6 linked regions of the Canis lupus familiaris genome follow. The protein of the gene in region 1 interacts with the protein of each later gene in a biochemical or structural test. Links are inferred from orthologs where the notes say so. Each region holds a gene or a part of one and is shown in the gene's direction. Other genes may lie near its edges.

Evidence for each region.
Region 2: the proteins of PRMT1 (region 1) and HABP4 form a complex in vitro, tested with the Homo sapiens proteins (2 studies listed by BioGRID, with this or other methods). The link is inferred for Canis lupus familiaris from reciprocal best matches to the Homo sapiens genes PRMT1 and HABP4.
Region 3: the proteins of PRMT1 (region 1) and BTG2 form a complex in vitro, tested with the Homo sapiens proteins (2 studies listed by BioGRID). The link is inferred for Canis lupus familiaris from reciprocal best matches to the Homo sapiens genes PRMT1 and BTG2.
Region 4: of the proteins of PRMT1 (region 1) and FUS, one has a biochemical effect on the other in vitro, tested with the Homo sapiens proteins (3 studies listed by BioGRID). The link is inferred for Canis lupus familiaris from reciprocal best matches to the Homo sapiens genes PRMT1 and FUS.
Region 5: of the proteins of PRMT1 (region 1) and FBL, one has a biochemical effect on the other in vitro, tested with the Homo sapiens proteins (2 studies listed by BioGRID). The link is inferred for Canis lupus familiaris from reciprocal best matches to the Homo sapiens genes PRMT1 and FBL.
Region 6: of the proteins of PRMT1 (region 1) and UBAP2L, one has a biochemical effect on the other in vitro, tested with the Homo sapiens proteins (2 studies listed by BioGRID, with this or other methods). The link is inferred for Canis lupus familiaris from reciprocal best matches to the Homo sapiens genes PRMT1 and UBAP2L.

Annotation. Positions count from the first base shown.
Region 1 is NC_049222.1:107,533,427-107,537,403, reverse strand, and holds the start of PRMT1 (protein arginine N-methyltransferase 1), read left to right. Parts: upstream 1-1,177; 5' UTR 1,178-1,240; coding exon 1,241-1,276; intron 1,277-3,453; coding exon 3,454-3,507; intron 3,508-3,714; exon of another isoform or gene 3,715-3,812; coding exon of another isoform or gene 3,813-3,830; intron 3,831-3,977. UniProt on the Homo sapiens protein: Arginine methyltransferase that methylates (mono and asymmetric dimethylation) the guanidino nitrogens of arginyl residues present in proteins such as ESR1, histone H2, H3 and H4, FMR1, ILF3, HNRNPA1, HNRNPD, NFATC2IP, SUPT5H, TAF15, EWS, HABP4, SERBP1, RBM15, FOXO1, CHTOP, MAP3K5/ASK1, MICU1 and NPRL2.
Region 2 is NC_049222.1:70,930,740-70,934,239, reverse strand, and holds part of HABP4 (intracellular hyaluronan-binding protein 4), read left to right. Parts: intron 1-2,358; coding exon 2,359-2,530; intron 2,531-3,500. UniProt on the Homo sapiens protein: Ribosome-binding protein that promotes ribosome hibernation, a process during which ribosomes are stabilized in an inactive state and preserved from proteasomal degradation.
Region 3 is NC_049259.1:667,098-671,362, forward strand, and holds the start of BTG2 (protein BTG2), read left to right. Parts: upstream 1-1,465; 5' UTR 1,466-1,518; coding exon 1,519-1,672; intron 1,673-2,986; coding exon 2,987-3,321; 3' UTR 3,322-4,265. UniProt on the Homo sapiens protein: Anti-proliferative protein; the function is mediated by association with deadenylase subunits of the CCR4-NOT complex. Activates mRNA deadenylation in a CNOT6 and CNOT7-dependent manner. In vitro can inhibit deadenylase activity of CNOT7 and CNOT8.
Region 4 is NC_049227.1:17,230,614-17,234,617, reverse strand, and holds the start of FUS (RNA-binding protein FUS), read left to right. Parts: upstream 1-1,204; 5' UTR 1,205-1,326; coding exon 1,327-1,339; intron 1,340-2,905; coding exon 2,906-2,930; intron 2,931-3,023; coding exon 3,024-3,178; intron 3,179-4,004. UniProt on the Homo sapiens protein: DNA/RNA-binding protein that plays a role in various cellular processes such as transcription regulation, RNA splicing, RNA transport, DNA repair and damage response. Binds to ssRNA containing the consensus sequence 5'-AGGUAA-3'.
Region 5 is NC_049222.1:114,418,048-114,422,042, forward strand, and holds the start of FBL (rRNA 2'-O-methyltransferase fibrillarin), read left to right. Parts: upstream 1-1,195; 5' UTR 1,196-1,341; coding exon 1,342-1,351; intron 1,352-3,995.
Region 6 is NC_049228.1:42,959,714-42,963,682, reverse strand, and holds the end of UBAP2L (ubiquitin-associated protein 2-like), read left to right. Parts: intron 1-610; coding exon 611-678; intron 679-1,416; coding exon 1,417-1,614; intron 1,615-2,008; coding exon 2,009-2,059; intron 2,060-2,879; coding exon 2,880-2,975; 3' UTR 2,976-3,469; downstream 3,470-3,969. UniProt on the Homo sapiens protein: Recruits the ubiquitination machinery to RNA polymerase II for polyubiquitination, removal and degradation, when the transcription-coupled nucleotide excision repair (TC-NER) machinery fails to resolve DNA damage.

The DNA of each region.
Region 1 (3,977 bases):
TATATGAATACAATTATACAGTACGTTCTCTTTTGTGCATTCTTTCACTGATTTTTTTTAAAAGATTTTATTTATTTATTCATGAGAGACACAGAGAGAGAGGCAGAGACATAGGCAGAGGGAGAAGCAGCTCCCTGCGAGGAGCCCCCCGGGAGCCCCGCCCATGTAGGACTTGATCCCAGGTACCCGGTATGGCTGAGCCAAAGGCAGCCGATCAACCACTGAGCCACCCAGGCGCCCTAGGTGGATTAAATTTGAATGCATTTTCAGTTTATGATGTTTTCAATTTATCATGGGTCCCTGTAAGAGGAGGAACGCTTCCTGGAGGAGGTGGCATCGAAGGTGTGCCCCGGCTGATATATAGGAGTCGGCAGACAAAGGGAGGTGCGGGTTTTTAGCAGGGGGAGGGACTCGGCAAAGGCCAAGTGGCTTGAGTGGGGTTGTTGGATTTAAAAAACTCGGAAGTTAGGTAGAGGGCTAGGTGCTTATATGTCTCGAGGCCTGAGTCCTCTTGCTGACTTGCACCGCACACCAGACAAGCCCTCCTTTTCTCTGGACCTCTCAGGTCTCCAGTCTGTCCCTCAGGTAAATGACCACAAGCTCCCTCCTTCCTCCTGAACTTCCCCCCCCTCCCCTGCGACTGGGAGAATCCACCGAGTGGCTGAGGAGTGACTGTTCATTGAGCCAATCGCTGGAGCCTAAAGGCCCGTCTCTCCTCCCCTTCTCATGGGCCAATCGCCGCGTTCTCCTTGAGACCAGCAGCTTGACGGGGGCGGTGCAAAGGCTTCATGACGTCACGCTCAGGATAAACCAATAGCATCTATTAAGAGGCGGGTTGTTTTGATGATGGACAGCTCCCTTTCAAGATGTCCGCTTAACGCGGGGCCCGCCGGGAAGCTTTGAGGCGGTGCTGGGGGGACAGGGGCGGGAACTTCTGGTAGACTTTGCCCAATCAGCAGTCACGGTTCTTGCGATAGACGGGCAGTCTTTCCCATCCCCGTCGACTTAAGGGGGCGGGGCTCCGCACACCAGACTGGGCGGGCCCCTCAGCTTTGATGGGCGTCTCTCTTTGCCCAATTAGCAAGCGACATCCTCAGACGGGCCGCCTCCGTTGCCAATGAAATCTCCTGGCGGGGTCGTGGTGGGCGGGTCGTGGACCCTCCGGTATAAGGCGGTCCCGGGGGAGTGCGGAGAAAGGGGGGGGTCTCGGCGGCAGGAGGAGGAGTAGGTGCGGGTGAAGATGGCGGCAGCCGAGGCCGCGAACTGCATCATGGAGGTGAGCGCCTGGAGCGCTGCCGGGGGTGGGGGGCGGTTTGGGGGTCGATGTTTTGTGCCTCCGTCGTGGGGAAGGGGCCCCGAATGGGCGGATTGGGGCTGAAGGTTCTCAGCCGTACGGTGGGGACGCCGCATGCTGCGGATCGCGGGATACAGTCAGAGGTTCGGGTTTCCTAGCTTTCGGGGGTCTGCGGCACTCTGTCGAGCCGAGGGTGTCGTGCCCCCTCCCACGTGGAGGAGGGCTGGGGGCGCTTCCGGCCTGGCCCCCACGTGGCCGCGGCACGGTGGGTGGGGAGGGGGTGTGCCGTGCCCGGTGGCCCGACGGGCTCCACGTGCGGGACAAAGGCCCCGCCCCCGGCCGGGGGAGGGGCGCCCCGGGGGGGGGGCGGAGAGGAGGCTCCGACCCTCCCTCGGAGGCCCCCTGCCCTTTCCCCCGGGATCGCGACGTACCCCTCGGCGTGGGCTCACTTCTGTCCCTCCGAGAAGTAGAGTCTCTCGGGAGGGGCAGTGTAGCTCGGCCCTCCACAACCCCGTTCCCGATACCGCGGCATCTCCTTAGGCTTCGGTCCAGGTTTCGTGGACTCAGGGGTTGGGATTGGAGGAAGAGGAAGGATTGGTTCCCTCCGGGCCCCCGGTTTCCTGTCCCTGGATTCCCCCCTTCCCGGGGCTCTGGGAGCTGGGGGGATGGGGCATGCCCCTGTGACCTCCCTCCGGGTGGTGGGGGGGCCTCTGGTTGAAGGAGATTCTTCCCGATAAGGCGTCGTGCACCCCCTTGTGGCCATTTCTGGGTGTGTGGGAGGGACATCTTTTTCATGGGGCGTGTCCCAAAGCCCACCTCCCCTTTGGAGCCCTCCCGGGCTAGGGGAGGGAGAGTCTCTGCTGGGAAGAGCTTGTGGGGGAATATAAGCTACCTCCTACTGGAGACTTTTCTCTCCTCGGCGCCTAGATACGCGAAGGTGGGAGATGACCTCCCCCTTTCTGAAGCCCTGTTTGAGGGTCCTGAGCCTGGAGGCTTGAGATGGTGTCCTGAGAAGTTTGATTCTTGTGCAGCCATGTGGGCTTGGTTCCGGTGCTGTTTCAAGCTCCCTTGGGACTTGCTCGGCTGTGGTGTTAGTGGTATTGAGAAATGGGTCCCAGTGGGAAATCCCCTTACCCGTCACCCTTCTTTGTAGGTGTCCTCACTGGCTTGGGAGAATGGGGGCGGGGCTTGGAGCTGAGTGGGTCTTGTGTGTGACTTCGTGCTTCTGAGGGGCCTGGAGAGTGGTCATATCCGGAAGAGATGTCATCTGATGGGGCCTGCATGATCCCTCCTCTTACCTTGTAGCATTGGGGGCCAGCGGCCCCCAGGGGTCACTCCAATGACTTCCATCCCCCTTGGCTCTCTCCTGGACCAGAGTCTGTATGGGTGGAGGAAATATCTCTTTTAGAGGTTGCCTCAGGATTTGGCCCCACACCCCAGGGGCTTTGGGCCCTGGGATGGGTGTCAATGGGTTTGAGGGGCCAGAGTTTGGCCTCCTCCCTGGGACTCTACCTTCCTGGGAAGAGGGAACGAAGCTTGGAGATTGGCTCCAGCTGGTGGTTTTGTTTGGGGCTTCCTGAGCCCAAGGCAGGAGCTAGGGGTCAGGGTGCCAACTCTGGTAGGGGTGCCTGTGTGCCACACCTCCTTTCTGGAATCCTCTTAGACAAGAGGCTTGTTTGCAAAGGTGGTAGATGCCCAGTGGGTACACACTGCCAGCGCCCCCCCCCCCCCAGCTACTCTTGGCACCCTGGGATGGGGGTGTGTGTGTGTGTGTCAGGAAGTGTCACCTAATCTGGGGGGGATTAGATGATGAGGGGGAGTGACAGCTGGCAGTGCCTGTGTGCCTGGCGGGTGCCAGCTCCTCTGGCCTGGATGGGGGAGGTGTGTATGGTCAGGTGCCTGGCCAGAGAGGGCAACGTGGGGGCGGGCCACCATCTCTCCAGCCGTAGCTGGGACAGAACCCCATCTCTTCTCCCCCCACTTTTCCCACCCCCTTTTGAAAACAGCCCTGCCTCTTTACTCCCTCTGCCACCACTCCCCACCAAGGAAAAAGAAAATTGCAGGAAACACCCCCTCCCCTGTGAGCTGGGGTCCCCTGGCCTGGCCCTCCCCTAGCCACTCCCAGTAGCTAATCCTTTCTCCCTGTTACTCTCTCCTAGAATTTTGTAGCCACCTTGGCTAATGGGATGAGCCTCCAGCCGCCTCTTGAAGAAGTAAATATCCTTTTGTGAGACCCTTCCCCACATACATATATCTTGCCACATTATCAGGCCCTTTCTAGCAGGCTAACCATGATTTCTCTCGCTTCAAACCAGTTTACCCTGTGCCCCCAAACCGTTAGTACAAACCACCCTCCAGGTCTGTGGCTCCCATCTGGCCTCCCCAAGTACCGTGGCTACTTCCTTAACTCCATTTCCAGCCCCCCCACCTGCCCTTCCCGTGTCTGCCCCAATTCTGCCTTCCCCTCCCCTCCCCAGCTGTGGGCTGAGCTAGAGACGGGGGCAGAAAGACTGGAGAGATGGTAGGCGTGGCTGAGGTATTGGGGTGCTCCCTTGGATGGTGCTCTGGGGGGGTCCTGGAAGAGGAAAGTGGGGTTGTAAGGTTTTGGGGCTCGTGGGGGAGGCAGGACGGCAGGTGGGGCCTTTAGGGTTGCCATGGTATGATTGGGGGGAGGATCTGTTCT
Region 2 (3,500 bases), about 37 Mb from region 1:
TTGGATGCTCTATGATTAGGTTTCTCTTCTGATTTCACTAATAGTTTTCATATCATGAACCTGTAACTTCGTGTGCAGCCATTACCACCATTCATCTCCAGAACATTTTCATCATCACAAAGAGAAATGCTGTATCCATGAAATAATAAATCCCCATTCCTCCATCCCCTTTACCCTTTAATAACCTCTATTCTTCTATATCTCTATGAATTTGCCAATTCTAGGTACCTCATATAAGTGGAATATAATATTTGTCCTTTTGGGTCAGGCTTATTTCGCTTAGCATTATGTTTTGGGGTTCATCCATGCCATAGGATGTATGTATACTTTCTTTTTGGTGGTAAATACATATAAATAAAATTTACAGGCTTAACCATTTTAAAGTGTACAACTGACATTTACTACATTCACAGTGTTATGCAGCCATCACTGTTACTGGTTCCAGAACATTTTTTTAAAGATTTTATTTATTCATGAGAGAGACAGGCAGAGACACAGGCAGAGGGAGAAGCAGGCTCCCCACAGGAGACTGATGTGGGACTCGATCCCAGAACTCCAGGATCACACCCTGAGCCAAAGGCAGATGTTCAACTGCTGAGTCACCCAGGCATCCCAGATAACCCATATTTTGTTTATCTTTGCATCAGTTGATGGACATTCATGCTGTTTCTACTTTTTGGCTATTAGGAATAATGCTGCATTATGAATAAACAGCATTATTGAATTTCCATTTGTGGTGCTGTGTGTTTTCACATGGACATATGTTGTCATTTCTCATAGGTGTATATGTAAGAGTGATATTGCTAGGTCAGATGGTAACTCTGTTTAAATTTTTGAGGGTTTGCTGGACTGTAATTCAAAGTGGCCACACAATTTCATATTCCCATCAGCAATGTATGAGAGTCCAATTTCTCCACATCCTCACCAGCACTTGTTAAATGTCTTTTTTATTCTAATCATCCTACTGAGTGTGGAGTGTCATTGCAGTTCTGATTTGCATTTCCCTGATGGCTAATGATATTGAGCATCTTATTGGTTATTTGAGATCATCTTTGGAAAAAATGTCTATTCAGAATCTAGCCTATTTTCCATTTGGGTTATTTCTTTTCATTGAGTTGTAAGAGTCAAGATGTAAGATGTAAGTCCTTTATCAGATACATGATTTGCAATATTTTCTACCATTTCATGAGTTGTTTTTTTTACTTCTTAACGGTGTCCTTTGCAGCACAAAAGTTTTAGTGATGTCCAGTTTGTCTACTTTATCTTTTGTTACTTACACTTTTGGTGTCACCACTGCTTAATGTTAAATCATGGAGATTGGTGCCTGTATCATCTTTTAAGGGGTTTGTATTTCTAACTCATATTTCTGGTGTGAGGTAGGGATCCAGCTTCCTTCTTTTGCATGTGGGTATCCTGTTTTCCCAGCACCATTTGTTGAAAAGACTATTTTTTCTCCTTTAAATTGTCATTGGCACCTGCTTGAAAAAAAATATTGTAAATACAAGGATTTATTTTTGTGCTCTGAATTCTAGTCCATTGAATCTGCAGGATCACTCATGGTGTCCTTTCCATTTGTGAGGGCCTTATTTCTCATATATCTGTCTTCTCTTTTCTTTTAAAATCTCATGAATTCAAAGAGGATATTTACAAAAGTATGTATGTGTAACCCACCATTTTATGATTCTGTTCATGATTGCCTATATTTGTTTTGACTCAATAGCTTCTCCCTTTTCTTTTGCAGTTATCTCATTTTGTGTGTAATGCCATCTGGGAAGGGAATGCCTGGAGGTGAAGTGTAATGTCAATGGGATGGTGATATTCCCATATTTCAAAGACAGCTTTGAAACAAACAGATGGGAAGTGGGGTGTCTAGCTGGCTCAGTCGGGGAAGCATGTGCCCGCCTCCTGATCTTGGGCTTGTGAGTGTGAGCCCCACAGTGAGCACAGAGATTACTTTAAAAAAAGGAAAGACAGACAAGAAGTATCTTTAGTTAGCAGTGATACCATAAAATGATTAAAGTAGGGAAGCTTGTGGTTCAGAGATTTTACCTTATGTAAATTAGATGTGGGACCATGAAAGTGGCTAAACTAAGAGTAATGACTTTGCGTATGAGAACACAGGCATTTTAGAACCATCAAAAACGGGATCCCTGGGTGGCGCAGAGGTTTAGCGCCTGCCTTTGGCCCAGGGCGCGATCCTGGAGACCCGAGATCGAATCCCACGTCGGGCTCCCGGTGCATGGAGCCTGCTTCTCCCTCTGCCTATGTCTCTGCTTCTCTCTCTCTCTCTGTGACTATCATAAATGAAAATAAAAATTAAAAAAAAAAGAACCATCAAAAACTTCTGCTTCTTTATAGAGTTCCTGAGTTGGAGTTAGAAGAAGAAACTCAAGTTCAAGAGATGACCCTCGATGAGTGGAAAAATCTTCAAGAACAGACCAGACCAAAGCCTGAGTTTAACATCCGAAAACCTGAGTCCACTGTCCCTTCCAAAGCAGTGGTGATACACAAATCCAAGTATAGAGATGATGTAAGCATGACATTTTCTTCTCTAGAGGTGATTTTCTGGATTAACTGACTAGGAACTGGATGGACCCTCTCCACTTCTGAGGTGCAAATGGGACATTAATAGTTGGTGTTCTGCTTTCTACCTAGGAGTAATCAGATGTGATGTGTGCCTAATTTTATCAGTATTGTTCATAAAACGAGTTGGAACTTGACCTATTGACACTTCATACAAAGCAGTTATGGTGACAGTGCATCTTCTGCTCAACCCAGAGCTGTGCTTTGTGCAAATACTGAATGTTAATGGCATTTCATTTTTATCTCAAAAGAGAGGTACAGTGTTTCCTGAGCAATGCCATTTCACAGGATAACTGCTCTGCATTTCATGATTAGATTAGGTTCAGCTCAAGCTCTTTAGAAGCACATTTAATTGGGAGTACTTGATCATTTTAAACAACCTGGAGTTCTGTACTCTGTTAATTGCAGCAGCTCTGCTTCCTCTGCCTAACTGCGGAGACTCCAAAGACAGGCCCCCAAGAGGAGGAGCCCCTGAGAGCCAGTCAGCCGTATGATCATTCACAGTGTCCTTCTCACTTGTGAGGGCCTTATTCTCATAGTTTGGGTTCAGTCCTTTTTTGGAGGCCTCTGCTTTGGAAAGATCTCCCAGCCTATATTGTGTGGGATGGTCAGCGTGTCATTTAATCACATTCTATTTGTGTTCCTGAACTTAAAGGTATCCTGAAGCATTCTCATTTTAAAATTTTAAAATTTAGAATTCACATCATTCAGTCATAGCCATTTATCTTGATACATATCTCTATGTTGATGATGGGGGTGAACAAACCCTTTCTTCTGGGTATCATTAATTGGTTTTCCATTTGAAACTCAGGAATTTTGTACTGTAGATTTGTCTGTGTTTCCATTTATACTTTGATTAGTGCTAGTCTTTGAATGGATACTTTAATTAGAGGGTCACTTATGATACAGGATCCCCT
Region 3 (4,265 bases), on another chromosome or scaffold:
GTGCCTGGGGAAGTGATGGTATCTTTGACTAGGAAGGTAGCTGGGGAAGACAGTGGGCTTAGACTGACATTGAGCTGGTGGCTGGACACCTAAGGGGCAGGACAGAGCAGGAGGTGGTAGCAGCAGGATGAAAGGACACACACTATGCAGATATGACAGTCAGGGGTGAAAAAGTAAACATCAGAGTGGATATCATCATAAACAGGGTTTCTCTGAGGAAGGCAATTGGAGAGAAAAGGGAAAGGAGTGCGGGAACACAGAGAGGGAACAGGGGCAGGAGCGGATCCAGGGCAGACAGAGCTGGGGAAGGGAGGCTGAGAAGCCTGGCGTCAGGTGCCCAGGAAAAGGAGGAGGGATTGCCTCCAGAGGTGGTCACCAGGACCTAGAGTTCAAGAAAAGTAAGAATTTACAGGCGCCTTTGGGTTTGACTCACCTAGCAAATAAATATGGAGCACCTACTATGCCAGACCCCAGGATGTTGGTTAGAAGTTAGCTTGATGGAGGGGACATCTGGCCAGCGCCGGAGATGGTGCCCAGCGCCGGGCACCATCACAGGCGCTGGGCCCAGTGCTGCATGTGGACCCTGGAGATTCTTTACCCAGGAGACCGTGTTTACAAGAACTTCAGTCCATAAGAAGGATGGACAGGAGAGAGAGGGCTGGGGGAAGAGGGAAGGAGAAAGAAGTGGATGGGAAGTTGTGTGCAGTTGAGAGCTGGACACTTATTTTAAAATGTTGGCATTTAAAAGACAGCGAGAGCAAGGAAGATAAGTTGGGCCGACAGAAAAGTCTTACGACATCGCCCTGGCCCTGGCCGTCAGAGAGGTGGGACAGGGACGCAGCTGGGCAAGAGAAAGGCGCTGGTGCAGAGGAAGCACAGAGCTTTTCTGGAGGCGGGACTATCCCCGAAGTAAACAGAAGGTTTGGTTCCCATCTCCGAAGAGCCCAGGGAAGCCTATTTCACAAACGCAGCACAGCGGTAAAGCGGTGACAAAGCGTCCGGGTGAGTGGTTCTGACACTGGAAAACGTGGGCGCCAGAAAAGGGAGCTCGTGGGAGAGGGGGTGTCCGCGAAGCTTCTTGGAAGAGGCGGCGGGTGACCTCCGCGTCGCGGGACTGGCGGGGCAGGGCCGCAGGCACTCCCGGGTTGGGGCGAGCCGGCCGCCCCCCTCTCCCCGCGCCGCCCACGGCCGGCGAGCGCCGCTCGGGTTCCCAGCAGTGACGTCAGCGGGCGATGACCTCAGCGCCGAGGAGGCGGCGGGGCGGGGCGGGGCGGGGCGGGGCGGGGCGGGGCGGGGCGCGCGGGGCGGGGCGCGGCGGCCTCCGAGCCCGCCCCATCCGCTGGCCGCTGCCAATGGGGGCCGCCGCGGGCGCCCCCGCCTCTCGGAACAGTATGAAAGGCGCGTCCCGGGCAAGTCCCGCAGAGTCGAGCCCTGCGCCGCCGACCGTCCCGCCGAGGCCTCCCCTGCGCTCGCCGCCGCCGCCGCCGCCGCCGCCGCCGCCCCCGAGCTGCGCGCGACATGAGCCGGGCCCGCTGGACCGCGAGCAGAGCAGACGTGCTCCCGGAGATCGCCGCCGCCGCGGGCTTCGTCTCCAGCCTCCTGAGCACCCGGGGCTGCGTGGGCGAGCAGAGGCTAAAGGTCTTCAGCAGAGCCCTCCAGGAGGCGCTAACCGGTGAGCGCTCGCCGACGTCCCGGCGTCCGCGCGGCCCCGCCGCCGGCCCCGACCCCGGCCGCGACCCCCACCGCGTCCCGCGTCCCGCGTCCCGCGTCCCGCCCGCGCCGCCTTGCCTTCCTCCTAGGGCAGGGCTGTCGCGAGCAGCTCCGGGCCTCGGGCTCCCCCAGCCCCGAGGGCGGCCGGCGCGGGCCTCCGCTGCCCTGGGTCACGCCCCGCCCGGCCCTGCGCTCGGGTCCCCCCGGGACGGCCCTGGCCCGGCGCGCTCCTCCGCTCGGTCGCGGGCGCAGGCACCGGCCCTTGCCCCCGGAGAAGAGGCGCCTGCGGGCGGGTGCGAGCTCCCCGCCCTTAGCGAGATTCCCCGGGGCGGCGCGGACGGGCAGTCCCGCCAGCCACCGGGTCGTTGTGGGGCGAGAAGGTGCCACTGAGCTTCTCAGCGACCTGGATCCTCGGCCGTGGATCTGCCGTGGGTCCTCGGGCTGCGCCGCGCCCGGGCCGGCTGCTACTTGCTGGAAGTTGGAATCCCGGCCCCGTCTGTACACTTTGGCTCCCCTTAGCCATCTGCCCCTCGTTACGGTGCTGAGAAAGCCTTGCAGGTAGTAACTGCGCCCTGCTGGCCTGTGTGCTGGGGCTGACGACAGATAAGCAACCGGGGGAGACCTATCTCAGCTGTTCTAGCGGGTTCGGCACTGGGCTCGGGGCAGCGATAGCCATCTCCGAACTTGCCCACACAGATCCTGCCTTCTGAGGAGCAACATACGTTTCATCAAAAACAACCCAGCTTTGGCTCCCTAGCCACTGCAGAGAGGGTCTCTGGCTTTTGAGGGAGGCAAGAGGGAGCCTCTGAGGCCCAGGGTGGGAGACACAGTGACTTGCTGTGGATCCACAGCAATGATGGCAGCCTTCCCGGCCTTGCAACTTCAGCTCATCTGTCTCCAGGAGCACTGCCTGGACATGTCCTCGGGTCTCACCCCTCCTTCTTAACCGGAGGGTGTGTGTGTGTGTGTGTGTGTGTGTGCTAACAGCAATACACTGTCTGCTTGGGATTGCCCCAGAACTATGGGGACTCCCTCCCCATATACACTCACATCCTTGCCTAGAAGGAGTGAGGAAGGAATCCCATATAATTTCCTCTGCTTCGGTGGCAGGAGGGTTCCAGGAGGGTCCTGGAACTCATGAGAAACCACGTTGCTTACTTAAAATCTCTGGGTTCCTTCCTCTACTCTATCCCTTCATTCCCATCCCACCCTTGTGGTAGCCTCCACAGCCCAGCTACTCTAACCAAGCCATCTCCCTTTTGTTCCATCCCCACAGAGCACTACAAACACCACTGGTTTCCTGAGAAGCCATCCAAGGGCTCAGGCTACCGCTGCATTCGCATCAACCATAAGATGGACCCCATTATCAGCAAGGTGGCCAGCCAGATCGGACTCAGCCAGCCCCAGCTGCACCGGCTGCTGCCCAGTGAGCTGACTCTGTGGGTGGACCCCTATGAGGTGTCCTACCGCATCGGGGAGGATGGCTCCATCTGCGTCCTGTACGAGGAGGCCCCTGTGGCTGCCTCCTATGGGCTCCTCACCTGCAAGAACCAAATGATGCTGGGCCGGAGCAGCCCCTCGAAAAACTATGTGATGGCAGTCTCCAGTTAGATCCCCTGCCACCCCTGACCAGGCACTCTACTGTACTCATTCTGCCGTGACAACAGGCCACTGAATACCTCAACCTGGGGGACTGTATTTTAAATGAAGATATATATATATATATATATATATTTTTTTTTTTTAAGAAAAGAGAAAAAAAACCCAAAAGATTTTTTTTTTTAAAGAAAAAAATCCTTAAAGGGAGCTGCTTGGAAGTGGTCTCCCCAGGTGCCTTTGGAGAGAACTGTTGGGGCTGGAGTCTGGGAGCCAGTGCCTGCCTACAAGGGGGTGGGCCTGACCAGGGCGAGGCGGGAGAAGCTTGGCTGGCCTCCCCAGGAAGATATGAGAGGGAGCAAGCAAGGTTAGCAACTGTGAATGAGAACGGGTCAAGAGCTGCCCTGCGGTAGGGAGAAAGGCCGAATCCAGACCTCTTGCTGTCCTGAGCAGGACATCTGCATCCCTGGCCCCTCTCCTCAGGAGCATTTGAGCCTGGACTTCAGTTATGCTTTGTTGTCTAATCTTATCTTTTATTTTTCCAGTGAGATCCAGGGCAGAGTGAAAAGGCCTCTCCTGATCGCTTCTGTCCTAAGCAACTTTTCTTGAAATCATGACTTGTTTCTGATTCTATGCTCAGGGGCCTGTAGATGTTGCTTCCCAGGCAGGAAACAAAAGCTTTTTGTTTTATGGGGGTCAGGGGAGTAAGGCAGGAGTTAGAGGTTATTGGGGTTGGGATGGAAGGGTACTCTGCACAAAACCTTCGCTTTGCTATGTGCTGCTCTGTGTGTGAGTATGTGTGCTGAATAATTTGGGGATGATTTGCAATGGAATTTTGGGACCCAAAGAGTATCCACTGGGGATATTTGTTTTTGGCCAAAATCCTTCTTTTTGGAACCACAGGAAAGTCCTGATGCTGCTGCCATTAACCCTTCAAGAGTTGGCTCAAAAGCTCTGGG
Region 4 (4,004 bases), on another chromosome or scaffold:
TACCTTTTCTTCACAAGATGGTGATGGGAACACAATCAATTAGCGTTGCTTTTTAAAAGATTATTTATTTGAGAGAGAGAGCGGGCACACCGCAGGAGCAGGAGCAGAGGTGGGAGCAGGGAAGAGGGGCAGAGGGAGAGGAAACCTCAAGCCATCCCCAACTGAGCGAAGAGCCAAGAGAGGGCTCAATCTCACCACCCTGAGATCACCACCTGAGCGGAAATCGAGTCCGATGCTTAATCAACTGAGCCATGCAGGCGCCCCTGAAGATTTTATTTTTAAGTCACCTCTACACCCAACGTGGGGCTGGAACTCATAACTCTGAGATCAAGTCACACACGCTCCACTGACTGCACCAGTCAGGCGCCCCTGATTGTACATTTTGAAACCACTTACACTCTCTATAAATATCAGTTATCACTGACCCTCCACGTTGGTTCCTTGGTAGGGCTTTAGGAAAAAAAAAAAAAGTTCTGCATCAGTAAAAGAAGTAAGGGAGACCCTAATCTAATCTCAACGGCTCTGACGTCCAGGAGGGCCTGGGCTTTCCCGTCCCACCGCTAAGTCAAGGGCAAAATCCAGAAGAGGTCTGGTGGGCGATCAGGGCTGGGGTCCGGGTTAAGCTCCTTTCAGGTCGGACGTCACGATCCACAATTGCTGGCAAGGACCAAGGGAGACGCAAACCAGAAAGATGATGGCAGGGGGAACCTGCGACGCGGGGCGTGTGTTGTCGGGGGGGGGGGAGGAACGTTTGAGCCGGAGAGGGAGGTTGGCGCCGCAGGGACCAAGCATCTGGTGCAGTGGAAGGGCACCGGGGCGCAGGGGCTCGCCGTCCTAGTGAAAGTGGGGCCCAGTGAAAGGGGCCAGCCGGGAGAATTTCGGTTCCCGCCCCGCGACTCCCGGCTTCGACTACACTTGCGTCCGCAGACGCCCTGGGCCCCTCGCTCCACCCCCAGGTGGGAGGGGTCAATGGACCGTACCATGATGCCCTTCTAGGGGGTGAAGGTGAGGCTTGGGCCAGTCCTGCAGGGAGAGTCAGAGTACTTTGCTAGGAAAAATAGGGTTATGTATGTTGCCTGCCAAGTTTCTTAATCGCTATGCTTCCCCTCTGTCTATGAGGATCCTCGGTACTCCCTGAGGGGTTGCAGAGTCCAGCCACGCTCCCCCCTTCCCTCTCCGCACTTCGTGCATTCCTCCGCGGTACGTAGGCGGGGGAGACGTACATAAGTCTCGACGCAGGAGGCGGGGCCGCTCAGTCCTCGAGGCGTCGGTGCTCTGCGGTGTTGGAACCTTGTTGCTTGCCGGCCTGTGCGCGCGTGCGCGGACATGGCCTCCAACGGTATGTAAGGGCGCGAGGCGGCGGCGGCGTGCCGGCCTGGGGCTTCGGTCCCTCCCAGCTGGGCTTTTTTTTTTTTTTTTCTTTTCTGATGGGACCCGGGTGGCGGATCGCGTGTAGGGTTTTCTCGCACCGCTGTGGCGGGAAGCAACGGGAGGGGTGGAGGGGGGGGGGGGAGGCCTGTGTCGCCATTTTGTTTCGCTTCTCCGGCGCCTTGCGCGTGGTAGGGGATCTTGCCGTCTCAGTGCCTTTACTTGAGGTGAGATTTGACACGGACGTTTCTTGGTAATTTGAAACGTGAGGCACGCATGGAAACGCTCGGTCCCGAAGCCTTCCCTCCCCCCCCCCCTTCCCAGCCGCGAGCTCGGGCCCCGCTTTGTCGCAGTGCTGCATCCGGGCACTCGGTGCGCGCACGCGCCCTGCTGGCCCCTCCCCCCTTTCTCGCGGCGCGAACCCCCCTCCCGCCTCGTGTTAGCCCTGCTTTTTGTCGCGATACTCTCCGCTGCAGGCTCCGTAGCGCGCGTCCGGTGTGGGCCTAGCCCCGGGGGTCCCTCGGGAAGGGGCGGGACCGCCTGCTTCCCGCCTCGGTTGCCACGCGGCCGGGGGCGGAGGCTCGGGATCGGGGCCGTGCGCCAGCTTAACGGTTTGGGGGAGGCCCCTAGGGGGTCGTCTAACGGACTTGGGACCGGGCCCGAGGGTTTTCCCGCCTAAATTTCCGCTTTCCGTGGTGGGAGTCGAGAGGAACGGCCGCCCGAGGCCACACCCTCTCCCGATCTTTTGCCCTTTTCCTGCGGGGGAAGCGCCTCGTTTCCTGTACTGAGGAGGTGATGAGTTGATCTGGGTTGGTGCGCCTTCATTGGGGGCGATTTAAAAGCGCTTTCGCGACATTTGGTTTGCCGAGACTCCCAACAGCCCTCGAGGAAGGCAATGCAGATGAGCAGACGGAATCGTTTGGAGGCACGGGGCTTGGCACTTGAGTCCCAGTTGATTGACCTCCGAAAGCGAACTCTGTGATGATCTCTGTTATTTGGGGTCGGAGAGTTCTCTTGGTTACGTGGCTTTGTACTAAAAAAGCCCACGTTGTCATTCTCCAAGATTAGGCAAAGGGTGAAGAATGGCCTCATTTGAGACCTATCTGTTCTTTGGGCTTGGTTGAGAGAGTGGAGGCCGCATCCCCCTCACTGCTGCCTTTGGCTTGCATCAAAATCTGTCCCCAGTTTGTGACTTTAACTCGACTGTTGATGATACCTTTCCCCTAGAGTAGGTAAGAAAATAAAATGTTATGTAGGTTTGTGCAGTTCCTGACATCAGTTGAATTCACAGAACATTGTAGTTTACCACCAAGATTCTTTTTTTTTTGTTTTGTTTTTGGTGAGACTTCTTGGTATCCATTGGGAGAAAACTTGATTATGACCTGCCATCTTGTCCTTCCTGTCATGAGGGAATTTCTGCCTTTTCTTGCAACATTGTTGATACTATCTGAAGGCCCCAGGGCTTGAGTTAAGAAATTTAATTCTGTTATACTCTCAAGGATGGCTGAAGGTAATGTAATTGTATTTTCTTTTGCAGACTATACCCAACAAGCAACCCAAAGGTGAGTGTTGTTTCAGGACTTCCAGTTCGTAGGGTGGCAAGGGTGGCTAAGGTATCTTTTCTTGATTCCACTGGTTTTTTTCTTTTTTTCCAGCTATGGGGCCTACCCCACCCAGCCTGGGCAGGGCTATTCCCAGCAGAGCAATCAGCCCTATGGACAGCAGAGTTACAGTGGTTACGGTCAGTCAGCAGACACTTCAGGCTACGGCCAGAGCAGCTATGGTTCTTCTTATGGACAGACCCAGAACAGTGAGTCTCTTTTAGTGGGTTACCCCGCCTCTTCCTGCTCTTTGAATGTTGCTTTTCTTAAACATTGCTGAAATGTTGAAACTGTATTTCTTTATTCGTAGTCTGTAACCCTTGAACTTTTTTTGGAGTTTGAATCTTTTCAAACAAATATTTAATTGGTTTGTAATTCTGGTTCCTTTTATTTCTGACTTTGAATTTTTCTGTTTATATTCTCCTTCCCATTTCCCTTCAGCATGACAATGAAATGTGGAGAGGAGAGTATTCCCTAAATGGAGAAAGTTTTAGGTTTTTTTTTTTTTTTTTTAAAGATTTTATTTATTTATTTATTAATTGAGAAACACAGAGGAGAGAGAGAGAGGCAGAGACACAGGCAGAGGGAGAAGCAGGCTCTGCGCAGGGAACCCAACGCGGGACTCAATCCCGGGTCTCCAGGATCACACCCTGGGCTGAAGGCAGCGCTAAACCACCAAGCCACCTGGGCTGCCCAGTTTTAGGTTTTTCATACAGGGAGGAAATGATTTGCTTAAAGATGTTTGAAGTCAGATTACTATGTATCATGGTGATACACAAACGGTAGAATGTACCTTGAGATCCTAATATGTACATAATGTGGGTTTCCCTATTTGTACTACACCCTTCTGAGAGGGTTAAAATACTTAATGAATAGGAATAGGAATCTCTTGGGATGGGATGCCTGGGTGGTTCAGCGGTTGAGCGTCTGCCTTTGGCTCAGGGCGTGACTCTGAGATCAAGTCTCACATTGGGTTCCCTGCATGGAGCCTGCTTCTCCCTCTGCCTACATCTCTGCTTCTCTCTCTTTGTGTCT
Region 5 (3,995 bases), about 6.9 Mb from region 1:
GGGCTGCTGCCTTGGGCCTGGGAGGGGTGGCTGATTATGTACCTGGGAGCCGGGAGGGGTTTGAGGATAGCACACTCTCTCAGGAATTTCGGAAGCAAGGTTTCCAGCACCTTGAGGGGGTAGCTATTGTTGGGAAAAGGGCACTTATTACCGTCTAATAAAACCTGAGTCATGAGACCCTTCAGATGTACCTCGGTGGGCCACGTGCTTGGGGGATGATTGCCAACATGTATCTTGGAGACTTAGAAATAAAGGAAATTTCTTTTTCTTTTTTAAATTTTATTTATTTATTCATGAGACACAGAGAGAGAGAGAGAGGCAGAGGGAGAAGCAGGCTCCATGCAAGGAACCCGATGTGGGACTCGATCTTCCATCTCCAGGATCACGCCCTGGGCGAAGGCAGGCGCTAAACCGCTGAGCCACCCAGGGATCCCAGAGATAAAGGAAATTTCTAAAGGAATTTTTTTATGTTAAAGTAGACTCACAGGATCCTGGGGGTCAGGCTAATATTGCCTTTTGCCCTTAACAAAGTATTAACATCGAGGCAGTTGAGTCCATAGAGGACTGTCCCTCTGCCTGTCTCAAGGACTTGTCAATGTGCTGCCCTGGGCCGGTGCTTTGTCCTCAGCTAGTCCTCTGTTCCTCCATCAAAAGCACTTTTATTGCCTTCTAATAACTTAGTTGGTGTCTGTTCCTCCCACTAGAAGATGAACTCCGGGGATCCCTGGGCGGCCCAGCGGTTGAGCGTCCGCCTTCCGCCCAGGGCGTGATCCTGGGGTCGCGGGATCGAGTCCCGCGTCGGGCTCCCTGCATGGAGCCTGCTTCTCCCTCTGCCTGTGCCTCTGCCTCTCTCTCTCCGTGTCTATCATGAATAAATAAATAAATCTTAATAAATAAATAAATAAATGCTTAATCGACTGCATATGTGTGAGCCCAGAATCGTCCGTGTTCGTCGGGTGGAAATGGGTCAGGGAAAGCTTTCGGGTGTAGACCTTAGGAAGTTAATCACAAACAGAGCAGAGGGGCAGCAGGGAGCACAAGAGACGAGCCCCGGCTCCGGGGAGGATCGCACGCCCAAGAGAAGGCGGGAAGCGCGCTCAGCGTCGCGATGGACGCGCCTAAGGCCGCCCACGGGGGCGGCGCCCTGAGAGGCTTGCGAAGCCCCGCCCACAGCGCGCGCGCGGGGCTCCGGACGCGGAAGGAGCTCCGAGGGGCGGGGCTGCGAGGTTACGTCACGCGCCGTGCGTCGCCGCGCGTGCGCTCCTTTCCACGTGCGAAAGCCCCAGACTCGTGTAGTCCCGGCCGCCGCGGAGTCCTGAGCCGCGGGGCTGAGCTCTCGCCATGAAGCCAGGTGCAGGCCGGGGTTGAGGGCCGGGGTCGGGGACTGGGGGCCGGCGGGAGCCCGAGGGGCGGGGCCCCGGCCTAGGGGCAGGGGGTCCGGCCGCTAGTGGGGAGGGGGTCCTGGTTCCGGTCGCCCGTGGCGGTGGCGAGGGGGTCTTGGCTCCTCCCTGTGAAGCGACGCTGAGTCCGGGGTGCGGGTTCCTGGTCTGGGGGTGTGTGACTGGCTTCGGAGGTCACGGTCGTGAGTCGGGGGTCCTGGGTTTGGAAGGGGGTTCCTGAGCTAGGATTCGACTCCCTGAGGCCGTCATTAGGGGTCCCGGTTATTGGGCTGGGGGTGGCAGTCGGGACAACCGACCCAGAGTCTGGATCCAGGCGTCTGGGGTCTTGGATCTCTGGCTGCGGGATTTGGGGATTATGTGTTGGCTCGGAGGTGAGTCCCGATTTGGGGTCGGGGAGAAGCCCCGTTTGCTTCGCGTGTCGCCGCAACCAGAGCCCCCTTAGCTCCCAGACCAGCTTCTCAGAGAGGGCCGTAGTGAATGAGGACTCCCGGCTTGGGAGTGTGTGGCCCTTTCTGCCCCACTTTCCCGCTCTCTACTCTCCCGAGGGGCGGGTCTCCGAGGTGTGAGTGATCGTGATGCTCAACTCGCGGTGAGATGAACCTTCACGAGCCCAAGACGGGCTTAGCGTGGGGTGGGGGAGGGAGATAGTCACAGGACGCGTGAGTGATTTTATTCATTTGATTTTCCCCGAGATTCTGGTGAACCCACCCCGCCTCCCCCGTTGGTAGATCGATGAGAGGGCAGGCTTTGACAGAAGAAAGATCTCAGTTCAAAACTTCAGCACTAGCTTTGGTTCTTAAGTTGCAGCGTGACCTTGGGCAAGTGGCTTTACTTCTCTGTTTTCTCGTTTGTAAAATGGCGCCCAGTTATAATTTAGCAAGATCACGTTAAGAAAAAGTACATATTGTGGTAATCTCTTTGCAATAGATTAAGTGTACAAATAAATCAACAGGTTGGCATATGTGATGTTATATATACATGTCAGTTATAGTTCAATAAGGCCGAGGGGGAAAAGCACAGGACTTGACATAATAGTATTTGTCTCCACCTCCTGTTATCTTTATCATTCCTCTCAAGAGGCACAAAATTAGGGTCTTTCTTCCTGGTGACTTGGGGCTTCCTAAATCAGGCAATGCCCCTCCCCACAACTTGCTTCGCTAGAGTTTGGGGAAATCTTCCACTGTGACCCAGAAGGTCTGTTTCCTAGTACAGGTCTTTGTTTTGCACTTTGCACTTCCTTTTTCTCCCACCCTCCCTGCGTGTGTGGAGAGATGGGGTCATCTGGTGGAGGGGGAGGGTGGGTTTCTTCAGGAGAAAGAAGACCTGATGACCTGATGAAATGATGGGCGGGGAGGCAATGCTGGACTGTGTCTCTCCATCATACCCCGGCATGCCTGCAGGCACCCTACAATTTGATTCCCCCAGGAATGGAGGATATACCTTCCGCCCAACCATTCCCTCATTGTGTTAGGATATGAAGCTGCAGCAGTTAAGAGTCAGCTCTTCACTAAGGGTTTGAGTCTGACAGAGAAGAAGCCCTGGGGAGATTTTGAGCAGGGACAGAATGCTGTCTGATTGACACATTTAAAAGGATCCTTATTGTTTTTTTATGTAAAGGGCATCAGGGGAGCACAAGTGGAAGCAGGTGCATTAGCAGGAAACTTGTGGTGATTTAGTAGGAGATGATGTGGCTTGGGCTAGGGTGGTATTAGTGGACCTGCCTGACAAATTGTCACACTTTGGAAATATATTTTGAACATAAAGCCGACAGCTTGTATGTGGGTATAAGAGAGATCAAGGATACCTCAGGGTGTGGACACATGTACCTGGAAGGATGGAGTGTCCATTTTTGAGATGGGAAGGTTCTAGGAGGAGAGCAGGGTCTAAACCTGGGGGTCCGTGGAACTTCCTCCCAAAACTTCTGGAAATGTGTGTGCAAACGTGTGTTTTCCTGAGGAGTTGGTACTTCTGGTACATTTTTGTAAGCTCCCCTGGACCTGAAATGAATAGATATGTTTTGAGTACCTAGAACTGCAAGTTGACACTCATGCCCCCAGGTCCCCTAGCTATGCCCACACTTCTCAGGTCACTGTTCCATCAGGCCTGGGATGAGAGTCCCTTCAGCCTAGTGATTTCTCCCCTAAGTGGAAGGACAGGGGGACTCTCCTTCCCCTCATTAAAATACTCCTGTTCAAACTGTGTACCAGGCAGTGTGTTGAGGGAAGTGCTTTGTGTGTATTAAGACATTTTTTTCCTACAATGTGTGATTGTTATCGCCGTATCTCTGTCTTACAGGTAAAGTTTTCAGGATTCCCATGAACCTTCCCTACTCTCTAGGGCCGTGAGTGGCATCTCCATCGCCCTGTACGGGACACATGAACTGATTGAGGGGCGGGGACTGGGGCTCCCTGAATGAACAGAGAGAGTGCTTCCCCCGCCCGGGGCAGAACCCAGGGATTTAAGAGTCATCAGCAGACAGCTCACTTAATATTTATTGAGCCCACACTTTGTGCCAAATGTTGTGCATGGTGCTGGGGATGCAGAGTGACCAAAAGTATTAAAACATCCCTGTCCCTTGGGATGCTGGTGGGGAAG
Region 6 (3,969 bases), on another chromosome or scaffold:
TAGGCTTAAATTAGTTAGCTGGAAGTGCACCTTTGCATCAGCTCGTTAAGTCAGAAGTACATAGCCGAGAAGAGCCAAGACTGGAGCAGCCGGGCCAGGGAAGCTGAGACTCCCAAGAACAGACCACGCTCTTGGGGCTGGACTGGATTGCTCCTTGAGCACTTTTCTTATGCTGTGAAAGCACAGATCCTGAGCCCAAAGGTCTCTTCTGAACAGGAAGAGCCCAGATTACCTATCTTAGGAGCAGGACTGGGTGGAGTCTGGGTGGGTTGATTTGAAATGGACATTAAAATTTTATTACATTTCTTTTCAGCTTTGGCACAAAAGTGTTTTGAAAACTATATGCTAGTGAGATTTGGCTATATCCACTTGCCCCACAAAAAGTAGCTCAGCTCACTTTCTCACATACATTCTCAGTACATAACCTGGAAAGGACAAGAGATTTGGGTCATGAGCTCTCATCTCTCTCGGTGCTGACCTGAGCTGGAAAAACAGACCAGAGTCCCCTTGCAGTGTGGTAACTAGAAAGGCCGCACACGCCATCTCCTTGTCTAGAGAGGGGCCAGCAGCGAGCCCAGCTAATCCTCCTGTCTGTTTCCTCCTCCCCCAGGTGTATCAGTCACCTCCAGTAACACGGGCGTGCCAGATATCTCGGGTTCTGTGTACTCCAAAACCCAGGTAGGTGCCTAGAAGTGGAAAGAGATGGGCATAGAGGAGGTGGTGTTGCAGTGACAGAAGTCCAGTGAACAAGCACGACCCCAAGAGGTGTAGGAAACCTGTCCTCGAAGATGAGTGGTCTCTAGATTTCAGTTTCTCAAAGAACTTTAAATTTAGCTCTCTGAGAAAGGCAAGAGAAGTGTGCCAGGAAGGTAAGGCGTGGCAGGTGGCTGTGATGTGTCTTGAGACTTACTGTGGCAACTGTCCTTTCTTTCCATACCACCAGCCTTTTTGCAACTTTCCAAGAGAATGGAATGAAGGGAAACTAGTTCCGTTCTTTGTAAAAACAAAAGGTGGGAACGGAAGAGTGCATCTGAACTATTAAGCCTGATACATGCAGTGTTCGGAGTTATGGTGGAGCACTTGGTGACCGAGACCTTTGCCACCAGGATGCCCGAGCTGCACGGTGGGGGTGGTTTGTGATGGTAGAGTCCCAGAGCACGCTCACAGCTGTCCTCTCCTGCTGTGCTGACAGCTGGGAGTCAGCACCCCTGGGTTATGTGTGAGCAAAGATCAGAATGAGTGAGTACTTCTCTCAGGATCCCACAGCCCTTGGAGAACAGAGCAGACCCGCTCACGTGCCTTTAGTGCTGCTGTTCTGCTGCATACTGCTCTTGGGGGGTGGGGGACTTGGGCTCTGAAACTCCAGGGCTTGGTTTGCTGACCCCTTTTACTGTCTCTCCCCATCCCTCTGGATAGCAGTCCTTTGAGAAACAAGGTTTTCATTCCGGTACTCCTGCTGCCTCCTTCAACTTGCCTTCAGCCCTAGGAAGTGGGGGGCCCATCAATCCGGCCACAGCTGCTGCCTACCCACCTGCCCCCTTTATGCACATTCTGACCCCCCATCAGCAGCCGCACTCCCAGATCCTCCACCATCACCTGCAGCAGGATGGCCAGGTAATAGCCCTCCCCCTCTCCTCTCCCTTCCTCTTCCTTCCTGTCCCCTACAACTGCCTCCCTTTCCTTCTCTTACCCTTCCTCACAACCACCTTCACCTACCCCTCCCAGCGCCAGCCATGGGCACACAGCACATACACACACAAGTGCACATAACACCAGCTGCCGGCAGAGGAGATGTCAGAGAAGGGGCCAGGCTGAAATTTCCTTTGGGGCCTTTCTCTTCTGCCTCCTATAACACAGCTGCCTCATCCCATCAGACCTGGGTCACGCCTCCCCTCCAACCTCTCCCAGCCTCCCCCATTCCCTGACATTGTAGCTTTCCCTTCTAATGGTGGAGTTCTATTGTCAAAGTTTGTCCCTTTATTTTCCATATATCCTGGTTCTGCCTCAGCTACCATATTTGCAGATGATTCTCTGTTGCCAGCGCCAGCAGGAGGAGCAGGTAATGAAACTGAATGATGATGTGCTTGAACCCACTCCTTTCCAGCCCCCATTTCACCTCCACAGCGTCAGGGAACTTGGAAAGGCTGCACGGTCACAGATCAGGACACACAAACACAGACACCTCGCTGAGCTCTCTGGCCTCCCATTCCTCTCTTGTCCTCCCTCCCCAGCGCCCTCTTTCTTTCTGCCCTTCCCTGACTCTGGAAGCACTTGGTTACTGGAATGGAAAGGATTCTTGGGGCAGCCTCTGGAGCCTGGGGCCTCAGACTGTCTCTCCTACCTCACCTGCAGTGGGCTCTCAGCTGTGCTCTGTGGTAGGGGTGGGGAGCTTGGGGTGGTACAAGTGACCTCTCCTCCATCACAGGTGGCTGAGGAGCTGGGATAAGACAGCTTTCCAAATTGAGGTATTCATGGGATTGATGAAAATGAAATCTCCGTGTGATCACTCCTCTCCAAGAGGCTGTGATTCTCTCTAGAGAGAGAGAGCCTTTTCTCAGAGCAGTGTAGGTGGGAGTGGAGGGAGAAAGTGGAATTGAAAGTGGGGAGAACTCATTCACTGTCTTGTCTCCAAAAGGTATTCTGCCGTCTTTATGTTGTTCCCCTGTTCAAAGCTTGAAAATGCTCTCTTCCATGTCACAGGTCCTCTAGCACCTATAGAAACCAAATTTTCTGTGGTGGGGAAGTAAACTTCAGAGTCATTTCTAAGCAAGGGGAGTGGGAGAGCAAGACAGTTTCCAGAGCTCTACCTGCAGATGTCACAGATTTGTCCCACTAACCAGACACCTTTTTCCTCCTCCTCATCATCCCATTCCCTGCAGACGGGCAGCGGGCAACGTAGCCAGACCAGCTCCATCCCGCAGAAGCCCCAGACCAACAAGTCTGCCTACAACAGCTACAGCTGGGGGGCTAACTGAGGCCTGACCCCCCTCCTGCCCGGCAACCACGGAAACGGCATCAGAGAGAGAGGAAGGGGGGGTTCCGCTGCCCCTACCTCCAGTGTCCCACCCTATGCCTCAGCTTCATGTCTGTCCCGTCCCCATACCACCCCTACTCTGTTGTATGTATTATAGGATTTGTATTTTCTCCTTTTTTTTCCCCCTTTCCTCTCCTCCTCCCCCCTTGCATTCAAGATTATGAAACTTTGCTGTGGGCCCCGCCTTCCTTCTCCTCCTGTTCACCCTGGTGGTGTATAGGTGAGGTGGGGCAGGGGGACCCCCAAATATATATCAGCCCAACAGCCCTACGTCTCCTCCTTTATTATTAGGAAACAAAACAACAACAAAATGGCGTCATGAATATGAACAGCATTGTCAGATGAATTAGTTGAAGTGTTTTTTTTTTGTACTGTGTCCTCGAATTTAATGGATTAATGTGTCTTGTATATATAAAAAGAAAACCTCTACCTTCAGCCTCTGCCCGTTCTTGCTCATTCTAAGACAGTCTGGTCAGCCAGCTCGGTGAATGAATATTCCGTTCCAGCTGGGCCCCTGGCAGGCTCTGGAGGCCCCAGAATAAAGAGAGCTTCTGCCTTCACCTGCCCTGCTGGGATTCCCTCTCCTCCTTCCCCAGGGGCTTCACAGCCTAGAAGGAGCTGCTGCAAATTTTCATTTCCTCCAGAAGCTGCTTCCTCTGCAGATTTCAGGCTGTGACAGGAATGGACAGCAGACACAGGGTAGAAAGCTGGAGAGTGGGTTTGGGGAGCGGTCGTGTACTGTAGATGGTCCAGGACAATGGTGGGGGGGCATGCAGTTCCTGCTTCTTGAGTGCTGCCGGCCCCTTGAAAAGGAGGGGTCAGGAGACCAGGGCCGGGGTGCAGGGAGGGTGGGGGCGCAGGAAAGGAAAGGCTTGAAAGTCAGGGGGCAGGCAGAGGGTTACTTACAGCTCCAAACTCCTCCCCCGGCAAAGCTT